2 linked regions of the Chlamydomonas reinhardtii genome follow. Each later gene encodes a partner of the first gene's protein in a complex. Links are inferred from orthologs where the notes say so. Each region holds a gene or a part of one and is shown on either strand. Other genes may lie near its edges.

The links. Proteins that work in one complex are often made in the same cells at the same time.
Region 2: CHLRE_12g514700v5 (region 1) and CHLRE_11g468700v5 share a complex: the UniProt entries of both Arabidopsis thaliana proteins name them as parts of the SGR1-CCE-LHCII complex. The link is inferred for Chlamydomonas reinhardtii from reciprocal best matches to the Arabidopsis thaliana genes PPH and HCAR.

The regions. Positions count from the first base shown.
Region 1 is NC_057015.1:3,711,687-3,715,857, forward strand, and holds the start of CHLRE_12g514700v5 (uncharacterized protein), read left to right. Parts: upstream 1-1,365; 5' UTR 1,366-1,531; intron 1,532-1,758; 5' UTR 1,759-1,770; coding exon 1,771-1,811; intron 1,812-2,014; coding exon 2,015-2,054; intron 2,055-2,259; coding exon 2,260-2,377; intron 2,378-2,563; coding exon 2,564-2,711; intron 2,712-3,014; coding exon 3,015-3,092; intron 3,093-3,366; coding exon 3,367-3,460; intron 3,461-3,616; coding exon 3,617-3,645; intron 3,646-3,801; coding exon 3,802-3,961; intron 3,962-4,134; coding exon 4,135-4,171. Other genes in the region: CHLRE_12g514650v5 (uncharacterized protein), read right to left, coding at 711-1,022. UniProt on the Arabidopsis thaliana protein: Alpha/beta hydrolase dephytylating specifically the Mg-free chlorophyll pigment (pheophytin), yielding pheophorbide. No activity on chlorophyll. Belongs to the chlorophyll catabolic enzymes (CCEs).
Region 2 is NC_057014.1:2,061,625-2,065,745, forward strand, and holds the start of CHLRE_11g468700v5 (uncharacterized protein), read right to left. Parts: upstream 2,802-4,121; 5' UTR 2,710-2,801; coding exon 2,654-2,709; intron 2,500-2,653; coding exon 2,231-2,499; intron 2,048-2,230; coding exon 1,987-2,047; intron 1,520-1,986; coding exon 1,417-1,519; intron 1,111-1,416; coding exon 1,040-1,110; intron 474-1,039; coding exon 425-473; intron 151-424; coding exon 85-150; intron 1-84. Other genes in the region: CHLRE_11g468750v5 (uncharacterized protein), read left to right, coding at 3,016-3,161, 3,510-3,704, 3,975-4,053. UniProt on the Arabidopsis thaliana protein: Probable iron-sulfur flavoprotein that converts 7-hydroxymethyl chlorophyll a to chlorophyll a using ferredoxin as a reducing equivalent. Catalyzes the reduction of a hydroxymethyl group to a methyl group. Belongs to the chlorophyll catabolic enzymes (CCEs).

The DNA of each region.
Region 1 (4,171 bases):
CACAGAAGGACGTCGCCGACGCCGCGGACATTTGTTCTGCAGCCCTTGCCCTGGATGACTTCAACCCAAAACAACGCGTGGAAGCTTGCGCTGCCAGCGGCTAGGCGGGGTTTACAGGCCCGGCCCACGACCACTGCGTCCCATCCTGCCATCCATCAGCACAGTACCCCAGCCGGACTGTGTGGCCCGCGGTGTACAGACCCGTCGGCTGGAGCCCTCAGTGGCTGCGCGGCCAGCTGCTGCCGACTCGCCGACTGGCTTGTGGCCCGCTGCGCCTGCAACCCGCGCATCCCCAGATCCACCGCAGCTGCGTCTGTGCGGCTGCGCCTGGGGCCACCAGCTGCGGCGGCGGGCTTCCCCAGGCAAGCCCACGGCCAGCAGCCGCCACCGTACTGCGCCTTGCCCGCGTCCCGCCGCAGCTCAGCGGTGCGGGTGGCCGTGCAGCTGCTGCACGTGGATTGTCACTGCTGAGCGGCTGTCGGCTATGTCCGTGGCACGCTTGCACGAGCGGCCATCATATTGACCGCCTGTTGGGGCCCACGCCTGCCGTTCCGTAACCGTAACCCGGCCTGGCCCCAGCGGCACACCAGCGCCCAACCAGCGCCTGTGAAGCTGCGCACTATGCCTGGAACACTGCCCCCTGGTCCGCTCTCCTCCCGTCGGAGGTCTTCCATGGAAAACACGCCCAGGCCGCCCAGCGAGTAGCTCACCTCGACCTTCTTCACGGCCACCACGCGACCGTCGTCCCGGCGGATGCCCTTGTAGACCACCGCATAGCCGCCTTTCCCCACGGGTTTCTGGACGTCGTAAGCATCCGTTAGCCTCCCAGGGCATGAAGGTACGACGCCCAGGGTCTCCCCGTCCCCCCTGGCGGTGTTTGGAGCCTCGCGCGTTGCTGGGCGACTGCCATTTTTCGATGCCTGCCGCGCTGGTGACGGGACCGTCTGCAAAGACCCCGCACCAGGCTGGGCCTCAACCGTCTGGGGCCGGCTTTCTGACTGCCTGCTCGTTGGCCGGCTCATTTGCTCACTTTGCTAGACATGCGCGACCGCGGGGCTGACCGGATATCGCCCCGCGAAGAGCTGTATTTAACACATCTTGTTTTGATAAGTTGGCAACATGAACTAACGAGTGGAAAGCTTATTAGAAAGCGGCACAACACCAGGTCGTTTGAACGCGTCGTCAAAGGTAAGAAGTAAAGCTTGTTTTCACCTTATAAGGCTGGGCATTGAGCTACTCGCGCAGCGGGCGATGGTAAAGAAAACCAATGGGCATGGAACATTTGGGACTCACGAAAATCTCTGTCGCTGCTCAGGTATTTAGTATTTTCATTCAATGCCATATTAATGCAACCATGAGGCAAGCGCTATCAGCTAGGGGCTGTGACCAGCGACTGGCGCAACACGGCTCCAGCTCAGTTCTTCGTCCACTGCAAGCACGATCTCTCCTAAAACGCTTGCAAATAGCTAGCTCCAACCAGACACAGGCGCATACAGATGTTGCAGGAACGAGCACGAGCGGGAGGGAGGAGGTGAGTCTCTGCCGAGTGCTGCGTTGAAACAGCGCTTGCCTGGGACATAAGCAGTTGCGTGGTCGCTTTAACAATTCCTGGGTGTCGTCAGCGGAGCAGATGCAGCTAGTCACGGCTTGGACCAATATCTGGGGACGGTTGACAGCTCAAGGGGAAAGCGGAATACTGCTCCACAGTCCTGGCGCAGAGGACCTGAGCCCCCCGTGCGTTGTGACGTGCACGTGCAGCGGCCCATCACCATGTCCACTGGGGAGTGGGGCGAGGAGCTGTACTTCGACTGGTAAGCGGATGAGCGCCCACCGCGCAACTCCCCTTTCGGGGTCGGCTGACTGCGTGGAGCCGGATGCCCCTGGGGGCAGTGCATCGCAAACGCCAGCAGCCTTCTGCAGCGCGGGCACAATCTTCGTGTCAGGGTTTAGGTCCTTGCCTTCGCGGCCTTCACGCTCTGACGCCTGGGCAACCGCCGCGTCGCGCCTGCTGCAGGGAGTACAACTCTCAAATATGCTACCGCCAGAAGGGAGAGGTGCGCGGTTGCGTGGGAACTCCACTCACGAACTCACCATACTGAGTCGCATAAGTCATGAGGCACTACCATCCCTGCAGCCTTCCCGTCATCTTTCACGGACGGCCCCGCCCCTTCGTCCTCCCAATCCTGATTGCAATGGTGAACGCACTCTACCCACACCCTGCGATTTACCACTTGCCGCCCCCCCCCCCCCCGCGCACAGTCCGGCCCGCCCATTCTGATGCTCCACGGCTTTGGAGTGGGCAGCTGGCATTTCCACCGCAACTGGGAGGACCTGCAGCACGACCACCGCGTGTGGGCGGTGGACCTATTGGGGCAGGGTGAGTGCGCACAGGGGTGCTTTATATGGTGCTGGACAATCGCTTGCACTTGTGTCCGGCCCTGCTCTGTCCGCCCCGTGGGTGTCGGCATAATTTGAACTCGAACAATCACCAAGTCCTGTGCTAACCATTGGTCAACGTACTGCTGACTCCACACACACACACGCGTATGCACACACGCCACAGGCCGTAGCTGGCCGGCCCAGCCTGTGTCGACCTCGGACGCCGCGGGCAAGCTGTTCTTCAGCGTGGACACCTGGACGCGGCAGCTGGAGGCGTTCCTGGAGCAGGTGGTGCGAGAGCCCGCGTACGTGGCCGGCAACTCCCTCGGAGGGTGAGTACGCGCTGCGAGGGGGCGGGATTACTTACCGTAAAGCCAAACTAACCCAAGAGGGTTACAGGCAACGGAGGGCGGTGAAGGTTGTATAGGAATGCTTGTGAGCGGCAGGGGCACAGTGCCCAGCTCTTGCTGGCCCGCGTGCACGCTCACACACAGCGTGCTCGCAGTCTCGCCAAGGGGTCCTTCTGGTCGCGGTTGCTGTAGCTTGGGATGACAGGCCGCGGCCCCGTTCCGTCGCTGCCATGGCCTAACCCTAGAGGCATGCCTGAACCTGCCTTCTCCCTGCCCCGCCTGCAGCTACCTGGCCGTAATGCTGGCCGCTCGGCGGCCCGACCTGGTCAAGGGGCTGACGCTGCTAAACGCAACGCCCTTCTGGTGAGCAGCGGGGGCACATGGCGGCGCGGGCTGGTGCGGTGAGAACAGAATCCACACCTGGCACTTCCTTGAAGCCATTGGGCCATGCAATCGGTGCTGGCGCCACACGCACTCGCGGCGTCGACCCCCCTTCTGCGTTGTGCTGTTCCTGATACACACACACGCGGTGTCTGGCTGTGGTGCGGTGCGGTGGAAACGATGGTCTCTCATCTGCTAGCTAGTCCTTTTACTGTCAGGATATCGCAGCACAACATCTGGCGATGCGACTGCGCAGGGCCTTCCGGCCGCCCCGCGCGTCGGCCCAGGCGCGCAGCTGGCTGTGGCGGGCACTGGACCGCGCGGTGGACGGCTCCGTGCCCGTGCCCCACGTGAGTGCTGCCATGCCGCGATGATGCTGTGCAGTACGGTAGAGAGAGGCAGGCTCCAGCGGGCGAGTTGCATGGGCGACGTGTGGTGTGGAGTGACGTGCAGCAGCCTCGTGTGCTGACAGGGATACGCTGTGCTGCTGCCCCTTTGCCCCGCAGTCCCTCAAGAGCGTCATTGAGCGCTACTGGTGAGCACGAGACGTTCAGCCGCTGAGCACACCGCATGGATCTACACAGCGCTGTTTGCGCTGCGCTTCAGCTGTCCTACCTGACACCTCCACGCAAACACACCTGCCGCATGCATCTCAACCGCCGCCGCCTCCATCACCTCCCTGTGCTTGCAGGTGGGACACGCTGCGCTCGCCCGCCACCATCAGCGCCATGCTGCAGCTGGTGTACGCCGACAAGAGCCCGCCCGACCCGCCGCTCATCAGCCGCATCGTGGAGGCCACACAGCACCCGGGCGCACTGGACGCATTCACAAGCATCGTGCTCAGCCCCAAGGTGAGAGCCCCGCATGCTACCTCCTCTTTTGCTTTTTCTGTGAATGATGTGGGGACGTTCTGCCATCTGCCCCAGCATCGATTGAGAAGAACCGATTAAGACTGACCAAGACCGACTGAGACCGACTTCCCTCCCGCCCGCCACTACTCTCCTGCCTGCCTGCCTCTCCCCAGGGTGAGCTGTCGTTCGACGAGCTGCTGGACCGATTGG
Region 2 (4,121 bases), on another chromosome or scaffold:
CTCCTCACACACACACCGCCGCCTCCCCCCACCTGCAGCGCCTCCCCCCCACACCACCACATCCTGTCATCCTCACACCCCCACCTGCAGCGCCTCCACGGTGGCCAGCACGTTTAGGTTGGGCGACAGGGTGGGCTTCACACCGCGGGCCTGTGTGGGGTGGTTGGGCAGTTGGGGCGGTTGGGCGGTTGGTCGGATGGTTGGGGCGGCTGGAATGTGGTTAGGGTGGGGTTGGGCGGGTCAGCAGCAGACGGGGCCTGGCGGGGCCTGACGGGTGGCATGCGTCCACGTGGGCCCCCACGCACACATACACGCACGGCATGCCGTACACTCCTCTTCGTGCATCCTGCTAAACGTGTCACACACTTTACTTTATGCTTGCTCAAAAACACGTACACCACGCACAAACATGTACGGCACACACCTTGATGATGTCTTCCACGGTGCGAGCCACCACGGGCTTTGGCGTGAACCTGCGGGAGTGGAGGACAAGCAGGGGGAGAATGGCGCCGGTTGGGCTGGGAGTGGGGCTGTACTGCTGTAGATGCCGTCCCAACCTACAGCAATCCCAATGCAAACGGGCGACGAGGACAGCGTGGCCTATGCTTTGACAACGGAGAGGCTGAAGAAGAAGGTTAAGAGCAGTAGGAGTATGAGTAGGAGTAGGAGTCGAGGCGCTGCCAGGACCAAACGTGTAGAGGGATCACACGGGCTGTTTCGGCTGCTCTCAGCGAGCTCCGGTCGCTGAGCGGAAGGCTCAGCTGCTGAGAGCTTCAGCCCAGTGAAGGGGGCTGCGGGCTCAGCGCGCTGAGTCGCTCGCCCAGCCGGACGAGCGGCCCGCACCCCCCGGGTTAGCCGACGACTTAGCCGGATGAGCGGTGGGGCCCCTCAAGATTGGCCAGGCGTCCTTGATCTCTCTGAAGCTCCACGAGGCGCCACGAAGTCAACCATCGAACAGCCGAATGGCTCGGATCGTCACTCATTCGATCCATTGCCCACTTCGGCACGCCCACACGCCCACCACCGCCTGCGCACCCACCTGTCGTTCTCGTCGCTCTGCACGCACACCACCGCGTCCACCTTGCCGCTCTGGAGCATCTCGATGGCGATCTGCATGGGTAACGGTACGGCAGCGGCAGCAAGTATGTACGGCGGGTACGGGAGCGAGGGGTTGACAAGCGGTTGGCAGTACGGCAGCAGCATCGCAGTAGCAGAGGCGGTGGGGGCGGTTGGTACAGGTAGTTGGGAGCGCGGCCCGCCGAGGCATATCAGTACGACATTGCCCACGCATGACCCCATGCAATACCAAGACCACGGCGCGGACGTTGTTCCCTTAACACCACCCCCATCCCAACCCAGGCACCCACTTATCCACCCATCCAACCAACCCCACCATCTACACCAGCCAACCCCCACTTGAGTCACAATGCCGGTCCACTGCGCTCCCGGCACGCCCGGCACGTTGGCAGCGTAGGCCATGCCGCCCGGGGCCGTGACGCCAAAGTGGAGCTCGTCGTCACTGCGGGGGGGGGGGGTGCGGGAGTATGTGTTGAGTGGCGGCGTTGAGCGTGTTGAAAAGCACAAGGAAAACATTGCACAAAGTCAGTGTATGCGATGCAGCAAAGCGACGGTTTACGAATGTTGCGTGTGTGTGTGTGTGTGTGCGATGGAACTTGTGTTGGGAGCCTGGGGTGATGTGAGGAATGTGAAACGTTGACATTTGCTTGGCGTGGCAACGAGTCCAAGCCAGCATAGGAGCAGCGCCACCGGGCGATGGCGCAGGCATTGCTTCACGGCTAGAGCGTTGCCGCGACACCGCAACACCACACGGCCACGCGCTAGTGCACATGTAGTACTCCTCCGTGTGTGGGAATGCTTGCGACTACCCCGGCTCCCCCACGCTCTCCTCCTCGCTCGTTTGCATTGGGTTTGGGCTGGTGTTTACAACCCCCCCTCCACCCCACCCCACCCCATCTACAGCCCCACCTGTTGACGTCGCGGCGGCGGCCGTGCACGCGCTCCTCCAGCTCATCAATGCGCGACATGCCTGCATGGAGGGATGACCTTGTGTCAAGAGTCGGGGCAGGTGACAGAGTCTGAGAAAACGCAGTACCCCAATTGTCGACACCACCATCTCTCCGCGCCCCCTTCCCCCCAACCCTGCCCGGGTGCCATCCCCTGCCCATTACCTGCTCCCCCCTCCTCAGAACCCCTCCCCTCAGCTCCCTACCCGGCCCCAGGAAGGCACACGCGTCTTTCACGTGCGCCACATAGTACGTGTCGCACAGCCCACAGTTGGAGCAGTGCTCCTTCGCGGGGTAGCTGCTGCCCGGCTGGATTGGCTTGGCGCGCTCGCGCCAGTCGGGTGCTAGCGTGGAAGAGGATGCGGATGAGGAAGCGCCGGAGGAGGAGGAGGAGTTGGCAGGTGTGGCCGAGAGCGGGCGCAGGAGCGGCGCGCGCAGCACAGGGGCACCGCCGGGAGCAGCGGCGAGGCTCGCCCTGCAAGTGCAAGCAGTGTGTGTCGTGATGTCAGAGGTGGGGCATCGCTGGAGCACCGCTCTGCAGCATTGAGTATATTTGGTCAAAGCCTCCTTCTAGAATGCGACATGAACGTCGGGAGCCTCACGCATTGCTCCATGCACGAGGCTTTCACCTGCGCCTCGAGCACCCAGCGACACCCTTCGCCGAGCTGCTGTGAGCACCGAGCATTTGTGCTGGCTTCAGTGCGTGTGCTCTGGTCCGCGAGGCTCAAAGACGACGAGTGAACTGGTCCAGCAAGCCAACTTGTGAGTCCAGCACAGCCTGTGCTTAGCAATGTATGTTTATGCAGTGACTAAGGTAGCGAATTACGGGCATTAGCAGCCTTCCAGTTGCGCAGTTTGCTCGCAAGGCCCGTGGGTCCCTTGGAATGAGCTGGCGCGACCGTGGGCTCTGGCTCGCTTAAGCTGCCTCAATTTGCGTAAGAAACGATTTCCTCTCGCTTTTAGCTGCCCTTATACAGAACAAACCCTTAAAATGCTGCAGGCCCAGAAGCGTGTTGTGTTTGGCCAGGCCCAGCGCCGCAGCGCTGTTGCCGTTGTTCGCACTGCCCCTGTGGCTCGCCGCATGGTCTGCCAGGCGGCCAACTGGAAGGGCGACAGCGAGGAGAAGCTCCAGCCCAAGTGAGTTTCGGGGCAACCTCGCGTTTCTTTCTGTAATGGCTGCTTTGAGCCTCAAAAAATGCTCAAGTGGATGAATTATATTTAAGGGGTGGACGGCCGGGGGCGAAATGCTGTTGTCGAGCTCGGTGCTGCGTTGCAGCCCCTCCCGAGCACAAGTTTGCTTGCACCACGATCTGCGCGACTAGCGAGGCAATGCACCAGCGTCTTGCTTTCACAAATGCATTATGGGCGTGTAGGCTCGGTGTGTGCGCGACGCCGGTGCGCGAGGCCAACCGTGCCTCGCGACATTTCGCTGGCCGATCGCGCATGCCCCGGCAAACAAATGACTCCCCCTCTCCGCCTCGACAGGGAGATTGTGCTCCGCTCCGTGAACGTTATGGTTCTGGGCGCGCTGCTGTCCATCGGCGCGGCCCCTCGCCCGGGCAACCTGGGCATCATCGACTACGGCGCAGGCGTGCAGACCCTGAACCTGTGCCCTCCCTCGCCCAACTGCATTGCCACCTCCGAGGAGGGCAACGACCGCACCCACTATGCCCCTCCCCTGTGAGTGTTCTAACACACGCCATTTCAAGGGCCGGGGGGCATTGCTATAGGGGCAGGGGATTTTGGGAGGACTGGAGCACGGCCAGAGAGAGCGGCAGGCTGGCAGGCACTGTGGCAGAGCAGCGGGAACGGCGGGGGCTGAAGGCTCTGCACGGCTCACAGCACTACCGGTACACCCTGTCGTACCAAGCTCTCGCCTGCGCCTCCACAGGACAGTACGGCAACTTGACCTGACGCACACGCACTGGCGCCCCCCTTCCCCACCCGCAGGACCTACAACCCCGAGGATGGCCGCGGCAAGAAGGGCCCGGCCAGCCAGGAGAAGGCCATGGGCGAGCTGGTGGAGGCGGTGGGTGGCGACGATGTCGGGTTTGGAGGGAAGGGGGAACGTGTGTGTATGACACGCGTGTCGAGGTC